5 linked regions of the Tribolium castaneum genome follow. The main gene of each other region encodes a partner of the protein of the gene in region 4 in a complex. Links are inferred from orthologs where the notes say so. Each region holds a gene or a part of one and is shown on either strand. Other genes may lie near its edges. The genes, in order: Tfb4, transcription initiation factor TFIID subunit 8, Taf6, Taf7 and TfIIB.

What was found.
Region 1: Taf7 (region 4) and Tfb4 share a complex: the UniProt entries of both Homo sapiens proteins name them as parts of the TFIID-containing RNA polymerase II pre-initiation complex. The link is inferred for Tribolium castaneum from reciprocal best matches to the Homo sapiens genes TAF7 and GTF2H3.
Region 2: Taf7 (region 4) and transcription initiation factor TFIID subunit 8 share a complex: the UniProt entries of both Homo sapiens proteins name them as parts of the TFIID basal transcription factor complex. The link is inferred for Tribolium castaneum from reciprocal best matches to the Homo sapiens genes TAF7 and TAF8.
Region 3: Taf7 (region 4) and Taf6 share a complex: the UniProt entries of both Homo sapiens proteins name them as parts of the TFIID basal transcription factor complex. The link is inferred for Tribolium castaneum from reciprocal best matches to the Homo sapiens genes TAF7 and TAF6.
Region 5: Taf7 (region 4) and TfIIB share a complex: the UniProt entries of both Homo sapiens proteins name them as parts of the TFIID-containing RNA polymerase II pre-initiation complex. The link is inferred for Tribolium castaneum from reciprocal best matches to the Homo sapiens genes TAF7 and GTF2B.

The regions. Positions count from the first base shown.
Region 1 is NC_087395.1:24,750,821-24,754,613, forward strand, and holds Tfb4 (general transcription factor IIH subunit 3), read right to left. Parts: upstream 2,057-3,793; 5' UTR 1,881-2,056; coding exon 1,654-1,880; intron 1,607-1,653; coding exon 1,168-1,606; intron 1,032-1,167; coding exon 833-1,031; intron 784-832; coding exon 747-783; intron 698-746; coding exon 634-697; 3' UTR 614-633; downstream 1-613. Other genes in the region: Zip99C (zinc transporter ZIP13 homolog), read left to right, coding at 66-241; Cdk12 (cyclin-dependent kinase 12), read right to left, coding at 2,453-2,680, 2,724-3,009. UniProt on the Homo sapiens protein: Component of the general transcription and DNA repair factor IIH (TFIIH) core complex, which is involved in general and transcription-coupled nucleotide excision repair (NER) of damaged DNA and, when complexed to CAK, in RNA transcription by RNA polymerase II.
Region 2 is NC_087396.1:13,180,130-13,183,689, reverse strand, and holds transcription initiation factor TFIID subunit 8, read right to left. Parts: upstream 2,101-3,560; 5' UTR 2,006-2,100; coding exon 1,867-2,005; intron 1,819-1,866; coding exon 1,532-1,818; intron 1,482-1,531; coding exon 1,331-1,481; intron 1,197-1,330; coding exon 910-1,196; 3' UTR 882-909; downstream 1-881. Other genes in the region: angiotensin-converting enzyme, read left to right, coding at 1-193, 249-532, 581-881; tou (bromodomain adjacent to zinc finger domain protein 2B), read right to left, coding at 2,897-3,053, 3,108-3,416, 3,466-3,560. UniProt on the Homo sapiens protein: The TFIID basal transcription factor complex plays a major role in the initiation of RNA polymerase II (Pol II)-dependent transcription.
Region 3 is NC_087398.1:814,605-819,092, forward strand, and holds the start of Taf6 (transcription initiation factor TFIID subunit 6), read left to right. Parts: upstream 1-1,456; 5' UTR 1,457-1,718; coding exon 1,719-1,961; intron 1,962-2,004; coding exon 2,005-2,235; intron 2,236-2,289; coding exon 2,290-2,667; intron 2,668-2,778; coding exon 2,779-3,393; intron 3,394-4,137; coding exon 4,138-4,470; 3' UTR 4,471-4,488. Other genes in the region: Wdfy2 (WD repeat and FYVE domain-containing protein 2), read left to right, coding at 1-234, 285-531, 704-1,035, 1,082-1,217. UniProt on the Homo sapiens protein: The TFIID basal transcription factor complex plays a major role in the initiation of RNA polymerase II (Pol II)-dependent transcription.
Region 4 is NC_087394.1:13,420,403-13,423,931, reverse strand, and holds Taf7 (transcription initiation factor TFIID subunit 7), read left to right. Parts: upstream 1-1,452; 5' UTR 1,453-1,626; coding exon 1,627-2,742; 3' UTR 2,743-2,941; downstream 2,942-3,529. UniProt on the Homo sapiens protein: The TFIID basal transcription factor complex plays a major role in the initiation of RNA polymerase II (Pol II)-dependent transcription.
Region 5 is NC_087398.1:13,752,212-13,756,549, reverse strand, and holds the start of TfIIB (transcription initiation factor IIB), read right to left. Parts: upstream 3,170-4,338; 5' UTR 3,038-3,169; coding exon 3,021-3,037; intron 2,948-3,020; coding exon 2,837-2,947; intron 2,782-2,836; coding exon 2,648-2,781; intron 603-2,647; coding exon 79-602; intron 1-78. UniProt on the Homo sapiens protein: General transcription factor that plays a role in transcription initiation by RNA polymerase II (Pol II). Involved in the pre-initiation complex (PIC) formation and Pol II recruitment at promoter DNA.

The sequences.
Region 1 (3,793 bases), on a different chromosome or scaffold from region 4:
GCATTGCCAACTAGACCAGTTAAAAATCTCTATTGGGCCTAAAGTGGGATTAATTTGGATTACAGAGGCCCGCACGTCGTGGATTATGCCCTTCACGGCCGGGACGTTCCTCCACATCGCGCTGGTCACGGTCCTCCCGGATTTACTCAAAGAGGAGGACCCCCGGGAGTCACTCAAGCAGATCCTCGCCCTTATTGCAGGGATCAGTGTCATGGCCATCGTGACGACTTTAGTTGAGTGATAAGTGATAAGAATTCAGTTGCCATATTGTTGATAGTTTTGTTGTAAATTACAGTATTAGTTGTAATTTTTGTTTTCTTTAGGTAGGGCATTAAGCGAAAACCATATTTTTCCAGTTGTTAGCATCGTCTGATGGTAATCAGACTGAACTATTTTTGTGATATTAACATTTTTTCAACACAATATATTTTATTATTCTGTAGTACTTAAAGTGCTCTTATATATTTTATATCAAAATAAAACATGACTACGATGATATATTGTAAATAAAGAGCAAGAAACGACCTAGAAACTATTAATACCAGACCCGTCTGACCTCATTCCAATCAAAACAATGCGCATTTATCATTATCAAGGGTAATAATAAAACAAATTCAACAAAAAAAATTTTTATTACAACTTGATTTTCCGCTTTTTCGGCTTCACAGCTAACGGTCCTGGGATTTTGAAGACAGTACTGGAAAAAAAAATTAGTCCACGAATAACACAATTTTGAAAAAACATACTGACAAGTCGTACAAATCGGGCTAAACTTGCAGAAAACTGTAACAAAAATCATTAGCTGGGGCTTAAACCGGCCCACTTCACTCACTTGACAAACACACCGAACAGACGTAACCTATATCAATTAACTCCCGGTGGCAGAAACAAGCCGCCCTGTAGTCAACCTTGACAGGGGGCGGAAGCACCAATTTTTGCCGAATAGGCGGCTCAGGCAAAAACACCCACTGGAAATAATTCAAGGTTGGCAACGCTGGCAATGGATTTTTCACACGCCAGTGTTTCCACGTCTAGTAAAATATCACCAAATCTGGTGATTTATTTCTTAAAATGCGAACATTTAGCAAACATTTAATAGAATTATTTATTATTTCAAATAAAAAATCGCAAAAATGAGGAAATTAAGTAAAAAAAAACAAAACTTACGAGAAGATATTGTAACAGGCCTTGCAGTTGCGGGACTTTCAAGTACAGCCCCCCTGTGATATCGCAGCCTTGCTGCAGCAGACTCAAATGTTGGTCAAGGGCGCACACATCAATCACAATTCCCTGTTTTTGCGCCGTGAAAAAAACGTTCATATAATTCATATACTGCGAGGCGGAGTCTCCGCTCCCCGTCACCACCAAAATGCGGCTGTTTAGGACACACCCGGGGGGCTTCGTCCGCTGGATCCGCGCAATGTAACACAGGGCCATAGCGATCGCCCCTGCGAGCAGTGACTCCGTCACAAGAGTTGATTTTTCGGTGGCCAGCAATTTGGCCAAGTTCTGCTTGATTGTTTTCTCCACTGCCGTGAAAACCTCGTACTGGCCGTCGATTTGGCGCACGTCGAGGGGCTTGTTGGGGCCCGGGTAGATGAACTCGCTGGAGTTTAGGGGTAAAGACAGTGGGGTGGTTATGGGGGCACGTACCTGGTCTTGGAGTGGCAAGCCATCACGGCGAGCTTGTTTTGCGCCTTTTGCATTAAATGAGAGTTGGCGAACGCTATGACTGAGTCTATGCAGTGGGTGAGGACGTGGGGGTTGTCTCGGAGCATCTTCTGGCTGGGGTTACTGTCGACGATTACCACCAGGAGACTAGTCTCGCTGGTTGAGGTGAATTCGGGGGCCGAATCGGCCGGGATCTCCAAATTATTCATTGTTTATGTGCGGTTTAAAAGTGGGGTTATATGGGAATTGAGTGACGTAACTTGAGACACTTCCCGGCATTGGGGCCAGAAAGTTATGCAATATTTTTTTCCCCAATTTCCTTAATAATGACTAAGCACGGAAGTATTGGATCATGTGGTTTTTAACGCAAGTTATTGTACTGCTTGCCCAATTTATGTTAATCGTGTTCGGGATTTGTAACCGCAAGCACAACTAGTCACGTGACCAGTTTTTACTTTCAAAGTGGTTTCAAAATTCGAATTTATTTTTCCTGTAGAAGTGCCGCCGGGCGTTTGGTGCAGCAAAGGTGAGTAATTCCGGGTTCAGGGGTGTGGGTTGCATGTTTGGGGTGCATTTGCGCTTTATAATTTGTCCATTTTCAAATTTTGTCAAAAGTAAGGTTACGGGGGGCCGCCAAATTCAATTCAGTCAGGTAATAGTCATTTACTCATCGATAAATGTACAATTTGACAGTATCTGCTAAAATATGTAATATTTTTGCCACATACATGAGGTTCGTGAACGAAACTGGCAAAATATAAAATTTTTACAAAATTAAGGCTTACAAAATCTTCTTTAAAACATTGGGCCCCAAAACCAGCCCGAAATGTTTCATCAATTCGGTCAAACTTTTCACGACGATGTCGGTATTTAAGGACACTCCCGGACTGTGTTCCCCCTCATCCTCGATTCGCAGTTGCAGTAAATGCGTGGCTGAGGGGTTGTTTTTGCAAATTTGTCGCAACTCGGTTTGGAGTGTCTCCAAGTACGCGATGGTCTGTTGATCCACCTGCAAAAAGCGGTGAATTTTGGTACAAAAGGGGCTGCCGCACCTGTGCCTGCTTCGTTGCGCAAATTTCCATCAGTTGGGGCAACTGTACCGCAGTTTTGTTGACGATTTGCTGCTCAACGGTGCAGAGAAGCTGGTAGAGATAGTTGCGGTTCTCGTCCGTTTCCTGGTGACGCGTGGGGGGCGTGAGCGACTCGCCGTCGGGGATTCTCGGGGGCAACATGGGGGCTATCCCCAGCAGGCCGGGCTTGATTTTCGTGGCCGCGGTCGCGAGCGCGTACGAGAGCACAGCCGCGTCGTAAGCCTCCATTTTTAGCACTTTTGACGAACTGGAATGTGAAATAATCAAATAGCCCAGGTTTAAAATATACGGAATGAATCTGCTAAAAGTTTATTTTTTCGATATCTCATCTGCCAAATTCAGAGTCCATTTAAACATTGTTATTTTAAAATTATCAAAAGAAATATAAAAAAAAATTTTTTCAGGCTCGTAATTACATATTAAGTAAACCCTCATTTTTGTGTAATTATTAATTTTTGAAATACAGTAAAAATACTTCCAGCAGACTCACCTTGTTTAGGTATTTTTACTTAAAATCATTTACTGAATAGTCTTAATCCGTTTACTGACGGAAAAATTAGTATAAAAGAGTCTACTTCCGGGACTAAAACATGCCACAGGCCTCGCATGCAGGGTAAACAAAAGAAAAAAAAAACAAAAAATAAATTAATCCCGTTTATTTTTATCTGAAATAAAAATAAAACATATGTACAAATATAATTAACAAATTGGTATCTATTAGGGCTTAACTTATATGTACAGGAATAAGTTTGATTTCGTACAGTTTACGAAATTTACATTCGAATTTTAGACGAAGGCACTTTAAAAGGCAACCAAAACTAATTACAGCAATCTACACAAACATATAAAAACGCTTTGTAACCTAAATTGCCAAAAATCGGTCGTAGCACCCACCTTTGAAAAAAATGACTTTATCACATAAAATACATAGGATAGAGGATGAGGATTTTTGGCAACAGAAAAAAGGAAAGGGTGATAAAATGAATACACTATAAAATTATACAAAAACCCTTACAGGAAATAATTTATAA
Region 2 (3,560 bases), on a different chromosome or scaffold from region 4:
AGACGGGGCCAACCCTGGCTTCCACGAAGGAGTCTCGAACGCAATCTCTCTATCAGTCTTCAACCCGGTGCACTTGCACCGAGTCGGCTTATTCAACGAAAACACCGACAGTTACGAAACCAACATCAACTTTTTGATGCTGATGGCTTTGAAAAAAGTCGCGTTTGCCCCGTTTGCGTATTTAGTGGACGCAGTAAGTGCCAATTTTCCCTTTCACAGTTAAATAATTAAAAAAATAATTGTTCCAGTGGCGTTATGAAATTTTTCAAAACGGGGTGCAAAACATGAACGCAGTTTGGTGGGAATTGCGCCTGCGCTACCAGGGATTAATCCCCCCAATCCCTCGCACTGAAAACCACTTCGACGCCGCTGCAAAACGCCACATTCCCGCCGATATTCCGTACATGAAATATTACGTCGCGCTTTTGCTCGAATTCCAAATTCACAGCTCGATGTGTTTTGCTTCAGGGCATGTGGGGCCGTTGCATAATTGCGATATTTACCGGTCGAGGGAAGCCGGACGCGTTTTATCGTAATGACTGTTCAATACTTGTAATAAAAATTAATTAGATATTTTTAGGGACTTGCTAAAAGTCGGGAAGGCCAGACATTGGAAAGAAGTGATAAAAATGTTAACTAGAGGACAGTCGGATCGCCTGTCTGCTGAAGCAATGCTTCAGTACTTCCAGCCCTTGATGTTGTGGCTCAAAGTACAAAATCGGAATGAAAGTGTGGTCGGATGGATGACAAGTTTGGAAGAGGAGGCTTTGTTCCAGCCATTCTTGTTTGCAACAAGCAACAAAATTGTGTTTGATTCAAATCTTGTTATATTCATTTCTATAACTCCGATTCTTATAAATAACTACATGTTGTATAAATAAAAAATTTAAACTTATAATTTAGTCTTACTTATGACACCTCCATTTCGTCCTTTTTAGGCAGCTTCGTTGCGGCCAAATACGGATTATCAATGTACCCATTTGGGTTTGTGTTTTCTTCACTTTTTGTGGAATCATTTAGTGTTTCTTCAGTCTCTTCTTCTTCTTTATTTTCAGCTTTTTCTTTCGCTTTTTGTTCTTTTGATTGTTGCATCATTTGACTTTTGTGGTCATATTCGAGGTCTTCAGGATCAAAAATTTGATCCTGGGGCAGGAGAGCGCTCAAGTAAGGGGGGTACGCAGGCTTACAAGCTATCACTAAAATATTTCAATTGCTATAGTGGGTATAAAACAAAAACGTAGTCAAGAGTGCTCTGCAACCAATTTTTTCCAGAGCACTATTGACCACCACTCACGAAATAAAAATTCCAAATAAAAAACGGACCACTTACGTGGAAAAATATTCGCCTCATCTGTGTCAAACAAATTATGTGTGGGGTTAGTCTTGGCAAGAAACTTCGTTAACGCCTTTTCTATGTCTTTTTTCTGAACTGCCGCTTTTTCTCTCACTGATTCGTAATCAATAATTGGTTGTTTGTGTGTCTGTAATAGAACAATAAAATATTTGACGCGCCCCAACAGCACAAACCTACAGGAGTGCGAACGTAGGCGTGGGGGTCCGGAAACTGGGGTAAATGCTGAGGGATGTAAGGGGGTAAAGGGTGCTTCGAGCCAGCTGGTAACATATTTAGCTGCTTCTGGGGCTGCTGTGGTTGTAGTGGGGGTAAAACCGAATGCTTCATGCCTTTTGTGTACACCATCAAGTCGTTGAAATTGTGCCCCATTTCCACAAATGCTAAAATCACGTCGGCCACCACGGGCTCCGAACGGCCCGACAACTCGCAGTAGCTTTTCGAAAGTGCCCCCACTTCGGTTAGGACTGCAAGAAAGTGTGCTTATTTCGCGAAAAAAGGGTTGAGGGGCTTACAGCACTGGATCATTTCTGTTAAAGTACCGAGGCTTTCTTTGTCGGCCGTATCGAAACCAGACTCCATTAGAATGCTGCAGACTGACGCTGCTAACATTTTTCGGTAAACGTTTACTTGCTGGGTGGTGGTTTGTTCCATTTTTTAAAGTTTAAAGCAAAGTTTGTTGTTATTTACGTTCCGAAAAGTTAAGGTTATAATAACGTTTGACAAATGACAAGCTTGTGTTTCTGACCGAATCACCAAAGAGCCGAAATTTAAACATCCATACGCGGGAATTCCAAAAATTTCCAACGTGTGGTTGGAAAACAGGGTAGTAGCGGTTGGAGAGAAATGAAAAAAGGCGACATTTATAAGTAAATATAATTAATATAAATATCTTACATTAAAATACATAACCTAGTTCTATGAGTTGCAGTTTAGCGCTGCAGAGAACTAGCCTACCAAACACATTATTTATTAATACATCCTTTCCTTTGAGAACTATGTTCAGCTTACATAAAAACATTTTGTAATAGGCTAGAGAGACATTTAATTTAATGTTGAGCGATGCAATTATGTGAAGAAATTTCTTTACATTTTATACAAACTCTTACTCTAATTTATTCACTGTAACTGAACCAGACTTCAAGTCGGGAAACTGAAATTGAGTTAGAAAAATAAATAAATAGAAACCACTGAACATTTAATGAACAAAATAGTTATCCTAAATAAATAATTAAATAAAAAAATACACAATTATCAAAAATACAAATTAATACAAATTGAGAAACCAACTAAAAATCACATTCTTGTTTAAGTCAATTCATTAAGTGATGCGCAAATCCAAGACTTTAATTGCATTCAAATAATTACAATTTCCGAACGATAAAAAGCTGAAGTATACATTTTTAAAGTCAATATCACACACTGGAAATACCTGTACTGTTTTTCTGAAAAAATTAGTTTGTATTCACACCTCATCGCAATTTAAACACTGTTTTCCGGGGGCCGCATTCTTCGATGGTAAGGTCTTTTGGGATAAAGTAGTCCTCAACTATTTGAAATACTCAGCTCGTTCCACCGAGCTTCGAAAAACTGGCGCATGCAGTGGCCTGCCTTTCCCACAGGACTGTCGTCCTCGTTGAACACTTCGCAGTTGTTGAAAATCTGTCTCACGTCCAGAACGAACTCCTCTTTGGATTTATAACTAGAAAAACGCCCAAATAACTCACACCATCAATTTTCAAGTCAAAACACCAACCTCACATCGTACAGTTTCTTCTTGATCGTCGACAAATCCATCGGCGTTTTGATGATTTTTTTGTAAGTGGGAAACTGCTTCGTATTCACCGGAAGCAAAAAGGGCCACGCGTCATCATGGCACTCCAAATCCTCCAGAATCGTCTTGCACGGCGCGAGTTCTTTGAGTAGTTTCTTCGAGATGCGGTCCTTCTTGCACGTTTGCGTGGACGGAGAGCCTGCGTTGCCGAGACTCGAGTTAGAGACGTCGCTTTGGTTGCAATTCGTTGCTTCTTCGTTCGTCGTAACGGAACTATGAGACGGTGCGGGACTGGAGACGCGACATGTTAATAAATAAAAAACGAAAAATTGAGAGGTACCTAGAAGGAGGATGGTCGGACAGTTCGCTATCTTTGCTAGACTTTGCGTGGTTTTTACGCATCGTCTTCTTCTGAGGCTTTTTCGATATGCATTT
Region 3 (4,488 bases), on a different chromosome or scaffold from region 4:
CATAGGACAGGAAAACGGGACCGTGTCAGAATTCTCGCTGGCATCAGACTTCAACCGAATGATGCCAGTGCGGGAGTACCTAGCACATCAGGCAAGAGTCACCGAAATTATTTTTGCCATCAACTGCGAATGGGTTCTGAGCGTGAGCAGGGATAAAGTGTTTTCGTACAATTGCACACAAACCGGCCGCAACATTGGGACTTACACGGCTGAGGCCTGGTGCACCTCTCTACAGTACTAATTTTTTGCGGAAAATTTTCGAGTCATGTCTTTAATTTTTGCAGATTTGATGCACAAACCAAACATGCGTTTGTTGGGGATTATTCTGGTCAAATAACTATGTTAAAATTGGATAATGCGGGCCCTAGTGTTATCACAACTTTGAAGGGGCACTCGGGCTCTGTTAGGTCACTGGCTTGGGACAGCGAGCGGCAGATGTTATTTAGTGGCTCCTACGACCAAACTGTTATCGTTTGGGACATAGGGGGGCAACAGGGCAACGCCTACGAGCTGCAAGGTCACCACAACAAGGTAAACATTGTTTATTACAACCGCAGTTGGATTTTTTCCGAAGCAAAGATAATTGTTTATTGGTTACGTAGGTCAAGGTTTGTTTTTTGTTGGCGATCGGCATTTGAAATTAAATTGGCAACAGTGCCAAAAATTACCAAAATTGTGGAAACAAGTGAATGTGATATTACAGGTCTCTGCTTTGTGCTACCTTAACTCGACCAAACAATTGGTCAGCGCGGGCGAGGACGGGGTGCTGGTCTTCTGGGACATGAACCAAACGCGTCAGGAGACTCCCGAGTGGATCGAGTCCGATTTATGTCAGTTGTGTGGAAGACCGTTCTTTTGGAACTTCCGAGCCATGATGGACCAGCGACAGTTGGGTTTACGGCAACACCACTGCAGACATTGCGGGAAAGCAGTTTGCGAGAAATGTTCCACAGGTAGATTAACAATTCCAGCGATGGGTTTCGAGTTCGCAGTGCGTGTCTGTGACCCTTGTCACCACTTGTTAAGGGATAGAGAGTGAGTTGCAAGTGGTGAAGTTATGTCTTGCTAAAGTTTTTTACAGGAGGGTGTCTTTAGCCACATTCCATGATGCTAAGCATAGTATTACAGCGATGGGATTGGACGAGACTCGCAAAAAATTGGTAACAGTCGGACAGGACCGGCTAATCAAAATTTGGGACATTTCCGCTTTGCTTTGAATCCGACTGGTTTAGTTACTAACGCTGGAATGTGATTCACACTCAATTAATTAATGTGCTATGATTTATTACATTATGTAAAATTTAAATATTATTAATGTTATATTTATATTCTATAAGTTCTATTGAAAATAAATCTATTATAATCACAGAATTGCGCCTCATTTGTGCTATTTTTGAACCCAAGTGTGCGAACAAGTGACATGATTCCATGAACGGATGGTAATCTGTGGTGACGTCAAATTTACAGGAACCTGCTTTCGGTCCGATTGTTGTCAGTTTTTTTCGAACAAACAATTGTTCGTTGTGATTTTTTCTCCCCCACACGATTAAATCAATTAAGTGCACTCTTCTTCATGATCCTTTAATACTTTGGTTCTTTAATGTTGTTGTTATGCGGCATGTGTTGGTGTTTTCGTCGTGCGTGCCACTCGAGTTGGCACCACTGGTAAACAAAACAAGCGCATATGCCAATTTTTGGCCCCCTTTTTGCCTTGAAAAATGTCCAAAAACGCTGAAAATGACTTATACGGAACGAATTTATCCGTCGAATCTATGAAGGTAATAGCCGAAAGCATCGGAATTGGAAATTTGCCCGACGACGCTGCAAAGGAACTAGCTGAAGACATCTCATTTAAACTGAAACACATCATTCAAGACGCTGCGAAGTTCGTCCACCATGCCAAACGAACAAAACTGATGCAGAGCGACATTGACGCAGCCCTCAAAGCCAAAAACTTGGAGGTATGTGGGCTTTTTGGTTATTTAACCTCATTGTGTCTTACAGCCCCAGTACGGTTTCCAATCGGCCGAAGGCCTCCCGTTCCGTTTTGCATCAGGCGGCGGACGTGAGCTTCATTTTATTGAGGAGAAGGAGGTGGTTTTGAACGATTTGTTGCAAAATTTGAACGCCAAAGCACCACTTGAGGTGTCTTTGAGGTCCCATTGGTTGTGCATCGATGGGGTGCAGCCCACAATACCCGAAAATCCGCCACCGGTGGCCAAAAACATACAAAAAGTAAAGTTTGCGTTGTTATCGCCACTGGTTCGTTTTTATTGGTTTGGGTTGTAGTTGGAGTCGGTTGATCCTATTAATAAAAAACCAAACAAGGAAACATCAGGGAAACCCACAACTGGAAAACAGAAATTACGAAATGTGGAAACTGTGCAAATTAAACAATTGGCCACGCATGAATTATCAGTGGAGCAACAGTTGTATTATAAGGAAATTACCGAGGCTTGTGTGGGGTCAGATGAGGCACGGAGGGCCGAGGCTTTACAAAGTCTAGCCTCCGATCCAGGGCTTCACGAAATGTTGCCCCGCATGTGCACTTTTATCATAGAGGGGGTCAGGGTGAACGTTGTACAAAATAATTTAGCGCTTCTTATTTATCTAATGAGGATGGTTAAGGCTCTCTTAGACAACCAATCGTTGTACCTCGAAAAATATGTAAGTATAGTATGGACCAAGAAAACATTTTTTCGCTCATTTTACAAAATTATGTTTTGCTTGATTTTTAAAAGTTCGTATAAGTAGCTATAATTTGTTGTTTAATTACAGTTACACGAATTAATTCCGTCGGTAACAACCTGTATTGTCTCGAAACAACTGTGCATGCGCCCCGAGCTGGACAACCATTGGGCGCTTCGCGACTTCGCCTCACGTCTCATGTCCCAAATTTGTAAAAACTTCAACACTAGCACGAACAACATCCAGACCAGAATTACCCGAATGTTTACAAATGCGCTCCAACAGGGCGATAAAGTCCCACTTTCGTCCCTTTACGGTGCCCTTGAGGGGCTTTCAGAGCTAGGGGCGGAAGTAATCAGAATTTTTATATTACCGCGATTAAAATCAATCGGAGCCCGAATTGAAATGCACCTTCAAGGACCAACTACTTCCAATATTGATAAAATCGCCTCGGAACATATTAAGCAATTGCTAATTAAAGTTGTGGCTCCCGTATTGAAAAATTTGAAAAATCCACCTGATTATGTAGAGGAGTATAAGCAAGAGTTTGGGTATTTGGGGCCCGCGTTACACGCAGCTGTGGTGAAAGCAAGGACACAACCGACGCCTTCGACAACAACGGCCTGCAATATTTCGACGTCGTTGACGAACGTGGGGGCCACTATTACGAGGACTGTGAGCCAGCCCTGCCAGATTATACAACAGGTAAGTGCATTAAAAAGTTTCAAAATGTGCTTCAAACGATTGACCTGAAATCCCAATAATTCCTGTAATTCCCACCTAATTTTTTTTTGTTTTCGTTGCTATAAGAAATTCAACGCAATATCTATTATCAATATTCTGATTCCAAATAGATTTGCACTAATTCTAAAAACAATTCCATAAATCCCAAAGGAAATTTTAATAATCCTTATTCGTCCAAGCGATTTTGATTAAGTTCCAAAAAAGTGTACACCCAGGACCAAAATAAGTGGCATCCCAATTCGTTCATACCCGTACGTACAAAACCGTAGAAAAAACGACGTCTAACCGCACCTTAACCTCTGGCATAAATCTTTTCGGTCATAAAATTAACAATTAACATAATTTGAATACTTCATTTAGCGATTCCACTATTAAAAATCGCTAAATATTTATTACAAATTTTTTTGAATTAATAAAATGTTTTACAAATTAGAAATGTTTTAGCTATTTTTTAGCCATTAAAGTAGGTTGTAGAGGTTTTACTGTATTATATTATTAAACATATTACTGTATATGTTTGCAATAAATATTTAGCAGTTTTTGGAAGCCGGTAAAAGAACTGTTCAAGAAATGTTATTTTTATGAACGAAAAAATTAAATTCCAATTCCAAGAAACCCACCAAAATTCCAGTAATTATAATTACTTGGGGTGTTTAATAAAATAAACGTGAAAGTGGATGTGCAGTTGGTTTTTTATTGCCGCAGAACACCGGCCCTCAGCGCACGATCGTAATGAACCAATCAGGGCGAGTCGCTAACCAGATAAACAACCAAAAAATCTTATTTGTGACACAACGTCCTCCAACCCCGGGAGGTTCCGTTCAACCATCCTCTCAATCGCAACAAAACACAGTCGTTAAATTTGTCTCAAACACGAGCACAATCAGTCAGCAAAAAATGATTACGACACAAAAGTTAATCCAAGGAAATCAACCACCGGTGGCAGTGGTTCAGAAAAGTACGTTTCAACAAAGCCAATTGAAAAAAGCGGATCAGATGCAGCCTCCAACTGTCGACGATTTGTCACATTTAATGTAATAAACGTAGAGTAAGTGA
Region 4 (3,529 bases):
TGATGGTAATAATTTTCGTAAAATACTAAAATATTTAAAACTATGCAATGTTTGCCTTTACTTTAAATTTTTGAATTACAGTTAAAAACTATTATTACTTTTTAAAAATGGGAAAAAATCGAAAATGCAATATATTACTACTTTTTTATAGTGGTAGCTGAGAATCTAATCTCTATTATTACTATTATTAGTGCCTGTCTAGTTTAAACATTAATCTATATTTTTCATTTAAATTTCGTAAAGTAGAATGGATTCACAATATTAGAAGTTGAGCAAAAAAATCTTGAATGAATCTTGATCATAATTATGTAAAAAAAAACATATATGTATTTTAACTATTTACGTAAACATTAATCTGCTTTTTAGTAATGTAATATCTATTCCGGTTTTTGTCTCTCAAAGTTAGTTGTTATTAATTTATTATTCATGCACTTCAATAACTTAATAGCTAATGTAATTTGGAGTTCCAGTGACAGATACAGATCTAATAATAATAATTAACAACTTGGTATTTTACATTTTTATAAACGTTATTTAAAAAAAATATTCAGTAAATTGCTTTATTGGCATTTTATTGAGTTGGAATGACAAGTATCTAATCTAGGTACAAAAAAATCAAAAAACATCTCATTGTTTTTTGTTGGTTTAAGATCATTGTTTGATGTATTATGTTTATTTGAATGTTTTTAAGATGTACAACTTATAATAAATAATTGATGCTGATTATATACAAGAGTTATTAATATTATACAAGACGATAAAAAGATTGTTTATGTACAAGTGGAAAAGTTTAGTTTAAGGGTGACGAAGTCACGAGTAAACTTATTCCATAAATTACAACAGCGCATTTGAATTTTCCGGAGTGAGAAATAAAGCACAAATTGAGAGTTTCGGTAAAGGAAAAGAATTCTGTGTTAAACTAAATCCCAGCGACACGTTTCGAGCTAAGAAAGCCAACCAGAAACTCCAAAAATTACAAATGCGCTGTTGCAAAATTCTATTATGAATTGAAATGAGATATAGAAAAAATGCATTTTCAAATAAATTAAATCAAACAAAACAAAGTTTTTCGGATTTTTATAGACGCCAATCCGAAACTTATTCAGAATCCGAAATCAAGTAACTAAAATTAATATTGAACAGAACACGCCACTTTCTAGCCCTCAGTGAAATAACAAAATTTTTAATTCCAAAATATTTAACGACTTGGCCATTATTTTGTAAAATCATACTGTTAGGTAAAAAGTTATTTACTGTCCCGCCAAATTCAATGTGGCCACTTACAAACAATTAAAGAAACACTGTCAGACAATAAATATTTCAAATATTTCAAGAAAAAACAGATAAATGATAAATAACCTACGCCACTGACTTAAAGTCTTAGCATGCAGCGCCACCAGTACTCCACTTCCCCCAACCAACAGATACACCCACGGCCGATAAATCAGAAAACCACTTAGCATACCTAACCTCCACAACTCACAAACATAACCTCAACCGTCAACAAATAAAAGTTTGTCATTTTTAGCAATTAAAATATGGTGTTGTTACATTTACATTAAGTTTAAAATTCGTGTCAAATCCACTTTTGTATTAATTTAAGCCCCAATTATTGAAAAAAAAAAAATGTACAAAGGGGGCCACGAACCCGATTCACCTGCAGAACTCGAATGCCAGTTCATTTTACGTCTACCGGAAGAACCAGCCCGTGTCCTTCGCGAAGCCATCCGAAACAACAGCACCCTCAAAGACAGGGTGGCCATCAAAATAGAAAATGACATGCGACATGGTGAAGTCCGAATCGACCACTGGCTTTTACCAGCTAAAGTTATGGACCTTCCCACTATTATCGAGTCCCTTAAAACTATTGATTCGAAAGGTTTCTACAAAACAGCCGATATTTGCCAAATGCTCATATGTAAGGAAGAGGACGACCAAACGACTACTGATGAAGAGTCCCCACAAAAGTCGAAACGTAAAGACCCCAACAAAGTGGAGAAAAAATATCTGATGCCACACGGGATCACACCACCGACGAAAAACGTAAGGAAGCGACGATTCCGCAAGACTTTGAAGAAGAAATACGTGGAAGCCCCCGAAATAGAGAAGGAAGTCAAAAGATTGTTAAGGATAGACAATGATGCAGTTAGTGTTAAATGGGAGGTTATCAACGAAGACGACGAAAACAAAGTCAACAAAGGCACCGTGGTGAAGAAGGAACCTGCAGAAGCCCCCAATCAGAACGTGGCCGAACATGATATTTTCGGGGGGGCTGTGAGTGACTCAGAGGAGGAGGACGCCCACCTTAACGTATTGGAACTGGACGACAATAGTCAGAACTCGGCCGAAGACAGCCACCTGACTGACTCCAACTCAATGATGATCAATACCGCAAACTCAAAATTGTTGACAGAATTCACCAGTGATATGTTCAACGAAATGCAAAATTCCCCCTCTTTGATGCAAGAAATGGACTATTATCAGCAGTCATCCAGCAATATTTCCTACACAGAGCAGAATTTGAGTAAGAGTAATATTTTGGCGAGGCTTGAAGAGCTGCAGTTGGAGTTGGATAATTTGAAAATGAGGAGGCAACACCAGGAAATGGAAATTGAAAATATTGAGAATTTGGCGCTGAGACAACGCTTTCAGAATATTTTGGATAGGCTTCTGCAGGAGCAAATCGAGAAGGAACAGGAGAAATACGGGTTGGAGGAGCTTCTGAAGCAGCACCCAGAGTAGTATTGGAGTGGTTAAAAAATCGTATTTTGTAATTTTAGGTCCAAAAAGGGGTTATAGTGAAGTGTTTCTTGTAAGCGTATCAATGTTAGATTAATTAAAAAATCTGTTTTATTCGATTTTAATTGTGTAAATTTCTATAGATAATTATTTTTTATGAATAGGGCACAATTTAGAAAATAAACAACTTTATCGGCAAAAACTATACTTATTTTTAGTTTGTATTAGTCTCCATCATCAAGTCTATTTCAGGGACACTCATTATATCCCATTTCAGTTCATAGTAGAATTGCAACAGCGCATTTGATTTTTTGGAGTGAAAATAAAGCACAAATTGAGAATTTCTGTATAAGAAAAAAAATTCTGAGTTAAACCAAATTCCAGCGCCACACTTTGAGCTAAGAAAACCTAGCAGAAGCTCTCAATTTATGCTCCATTTCACTCAAAAAATTGCAAATGCGTTGTTGCAAAATTCTACTACGATCTGAAATGAGATATACATTTTTTTATTGCAAATCATAAAGTAAAATAACACGTTTCCTTATTTACCAGTATATAACAAGAAAATAAGTAAATTATTTAATAAATCATACTAATGCTCATTGCATTTTTAATCTGAGTTCAGCCTCAATTATAAAGACTCGTAAAGAAAAACTATCAATATTTATTTCAAAATTATAAAAAAAAACGGCAATAGTGTATTTAATTTTTTTTGGGTCAAATAGGTGACAAATTAACACTTTTTGGGTTTTCGTGCGATTTTGTTTTAAAATGAACTCTAGTGTTCTAG
Region 5 (4,338 bases), on a different chromosome or scaffold from region 4:
AAAAAAATCAGTACATTAAATTAATTAATTAGTAAAAAAGTGGAGTCAGGGCCTGAATTTTAGAAATTACTCTCTTACCTGTGACGCCATGTAAATAGCAGCTGCAGCTACAGAAATCGGCGATCTCCCTGGAACAATATCCAACTCCACCGCCTTCCTTGCAATATGCGTAGCCGCCCTTTGCACCATATTCGGCAAACCAAGGTTCGAGCAAAACCTCGACATAAAATCACCAGTGGTAATGAGATCCACTGAAGTTTCAAGCGCTTTCAAAATCAATTTAAAACATCTTCCAATCTCTCGTTTACTAATTTTACTGACGGCGCAGATTTCTTTGAACGTTCGAGGGACGCCCTCTTGCCGACAAGCTATGTAAAGACACGCCGACGCTATGGCGTCGTTAGAGCGTCCTTTCAAGTTACGTCCATCATGCACTTGTTTGAACAAGTTATTAGCACGGTCTACTATAGTCCTTGGAAGATTAATGCGATCCGCCATTCCGTTGATTTCACGAAAAGCGTTGATCAAAGCGCGGTCGGAACTGCTCATGGTTTTACGGTTCTGGTAGCGCGCGACACCGAAACTATCAAAGGAGGCGTCCCCTGGAAAAAAATTAAAAGACAAACTGTGATAAGTTTTGTTGTCCAGTCAAAATAAATAAATCAAAATTTTGGGAAAAAGCTTGCATCTTTCTATACATATAAGTTAAAAACGTTTTGAAAATCAAAAACAAAGTATGTTTTAGCAGCCATTCCATTTTAACGGACGGGACACTTCACATGGTTTCTATTTCATTTTCAGTTTTTATGAACAGTATCAGTAAAAGTGAATTTTTATTTATAGGAACTTAGTACCAGTTAAACGGTTTGCAACCTACATAGGAGCCACATTTGTAAAAATTCAAATATGGACAGGAAAAAGAAACACAAATTGATGACGGACGGGACACAGAAAAGACCTCACATTTTTTTCGTTGAGCAATCATTATACAATTCTGTTAATTTAAAGTGCACTAATTCCAACAATTATCTTTGAAGTTAAAGGTGAATCTTTTGAAACCACGAAAACGAACAACAAGGTAATATGTTACAACTTCTAATTAATTTACTTTTTGTTTACACATATGGGGTAAAAAAATCTTGTGCATGCAAATAACTTTAAAAGTTATTCACACAGGTTTTACTTTATTGAAAGACTTTAACAATGACAAAATTAGCCAGTAGAAATTAAAAATTATTGGATGTGTTTCCCATCGTAAGAAATAAGAGCAACATTTATACAGAGTGTTCCGTTTTTATTGTTACGAATTTAAACAGATGATAGAACATTCAATTTTAAGACAAACGTTTCCTATAAACATGTATTGATAAGTACTTCGTAAGAAACCTACCCTACACACTCTGAAAAGGGTGCTCCCTCTATTAGTGGATTTTTCCCAATATTTCAAAAACTATTACAGATATCGAAATGATTCGTGACCAAAAGCTGATATGAAGTACAGTAATGTTTGAATAATTCGAACAGAAAATTTGCAGATTGCAAATAATATCAATAATCCCAACACGCGTTCGGTTTACAGTTACCTTACATAACCAAATAACCATGCAAATACATATCCCTACCACAAAAATTATACTCAGTGGCTATAAACACCGTTAAGTGTTTCAAAATAAAAAAATACAAAATTAAAATGTATTGCAAACAACTATCAAGAATTAAAATCAACATGTGGTATTTCGGATTACGAAATTCAAACGTTCGGATTGTAGGTACAATAAATACCGTTCGGGTTATTAGAGGGGGCTTGTTTAATTTTAACAGTTAAAAATCAAAATTTTCCCAATTTTTTTAAACTTCAAACCGATCACAAGAGGCAAGTATCCTGGTCAGCAATATTGCCAGTTAATAATCAAGAGTTGTCTAAATATTACTGGAATAGCTTCATTCCATTTCTATTCAATAGAGGTTTGTCTTATACAACAAAAAAACTTTCTTGCATCTCAAAAATTTCGATACACAAATATGCAACGTTACAAGAAAATGTATTTTTTTCGGGTTCCCTTTATAAATATTCAACTAAGTAACTACGTAAACATCCACATTAATTGAAAATTTTGTGAAAAAAAATTCTAGCTTTATCAAAAAGGAAGACACGAGGTTGTAAACTCAAGATTTGTCCAGTTTTAGGTTTGTGTAATTTTTTCGCTAAAACGTCTTTTTCATAATGAAAACAATTTCCAATACAAAAACGACCTTCGGATTACAACGCAGCAGAAAATTTTGCAAAATAATCAAATGTTTATAGTCACTTTTTAAAATTGTACAGATCATCCCTTTATATTTATTGCAACCACCCTAAACTCTGTTTATTTGAATAATGTCAAAAAATTCGGCAGAATATTAATATATAGAATTTTATGCTTTACAATTCTTATTAAAAACTTTTTTCCAAGTCATCGATTTTTTACAATCATTACGAAACATTTTATTCGTTTATTCGTTTTTTCAATACCTTCTCGTGATTCAAACAAAACGTTTTGAAATACTTCACAGTAGCACAGACAGTAACTTATTTCAAAAAGGTAAGCTTTTCACTAACATTTTAATTTAAAGGCTTATTTGAGTGGAATATTTAAATAAAACAAACCTCGACCGGGGCCTATCATTGTGGTCAGGTCTGAGCCGTTAAGAAGGGGGTTCTCGGGGCCACCAACACGAGAAGGATCGACCCCCGATTTTTCGTTGCTGAAGGTTCTCCATTCAGATCCAACGTCTATTACTCTACAATGATGCAAGCAAATAAACTTATGATGCGTTTTATTGATTTGAATATTACCTGTCACCTACTACTAAACCGCATTCGGAGCAAATCTGATCGCCTGCTCTGTAATCTTCAATAAGGGGGGCATCTGGATGAGAATTACAACAAACCTTATTCGTGTCATACCTGAAATATTATTTGAGGTTAACATCATTATTATTGAAATTGGAATCGTAACAAGTTATTTATGCTAAAATACCTTGAACTACTCGCCATCTTGTACAATTTTGCACTATTTCTTCTCTATTTATTGTTATTATGACAATTTTCAAGTTTTGACAAGTGTGATAGTTAATCGACACTGTACCGATAAAACAGGTTTCAGTCATTCGACTTCCAGTTTATTGGTAAAGCAGATTTCTGTTAAGAACGTACAGTAGCGACCTCAAAAGTAATAAACTGGCGCCAATTTCAAAGCAATATAAGCTGATTTAAAACGTTCGGGAAATCGGAACCATCTCTTGGGTAAGACAGTCACATCCAACTGACAAAACATTGTTTGTGTATTTTTTCACAACATACAGTTCTTCTCGAGTTAGATTTTTAAGTTGAAGTTTTGGCAATATTTTTTTTCAACTACTTCGACCAAGCTCAAAAAACCTTCGTAATGAGCTCGGAACGCAAATTTAATAATTTATTTTAGAATGAAATTATAGATTAGAATGTGATGACTAATTCGCGGTCTCTTATAGAAAGCAGTTGACTTTTTTTCATTAATTATTATATTTTTATGTAGTTTTATCCTTTCGAAGAGTGACTAAGCTTGTATCAAATTCTGTATTGGCTGCCCTAAGTTTTCGATTTTTTAAGAAATGGTGAAACCTGAGTTTCGAACTGTAAAGAAATATTTTTAAAATGTGTTAGGTTCTACATTAGCATAGTTAAAACTGTATTGCAAAGTTTCAATTGAGCCATACAGGTACAGGCCTTAGGAAACACCACGTCGAAAAAAGTTGAAAAGTGCTTCTCCTGCAGAAATAGTCAGAAAAATCCAAAGAACGGTATTGGAAGATTACAAATGAAAGTTGTATAAAATAGTTCAAACCTTGAGGATTTTAAAACACAAACATCATATCTTTTATCAGTTTTTAAGTATGAGAAAAAATTGGCAAAATGGGTGGCATATTGCTCCTTCTTTGAGCACAAAAGCTCACCGAAAAAAATCAGATATTTTCAATGCTTGGAGCTATTTTAACGCAATCCAATGGATTTTATGCGCCAATGTATAACAATTTAGCTTCAGTCTATTACTGGACTTAAAAAATATTACACTGGAAATAAGTATAAAACAAAGTTTGAAGAAATTACAGCTAAAAAAAGTTTTTTTGAAGAGTTACAAGAATCGGTCCACAAGGATAGTATAAAGATTTCGAAACATCAATTGACTATAAGTGCTAATAACTACAAGGAGATTATATTAAAAAGTAAAAAAAATCTCCTTTTTATGGGAGGCTACAAATAAAACATCCCATCTTTATACTAATTGGTCGTATTTTTAGTAAGGTATATAGTTTTGG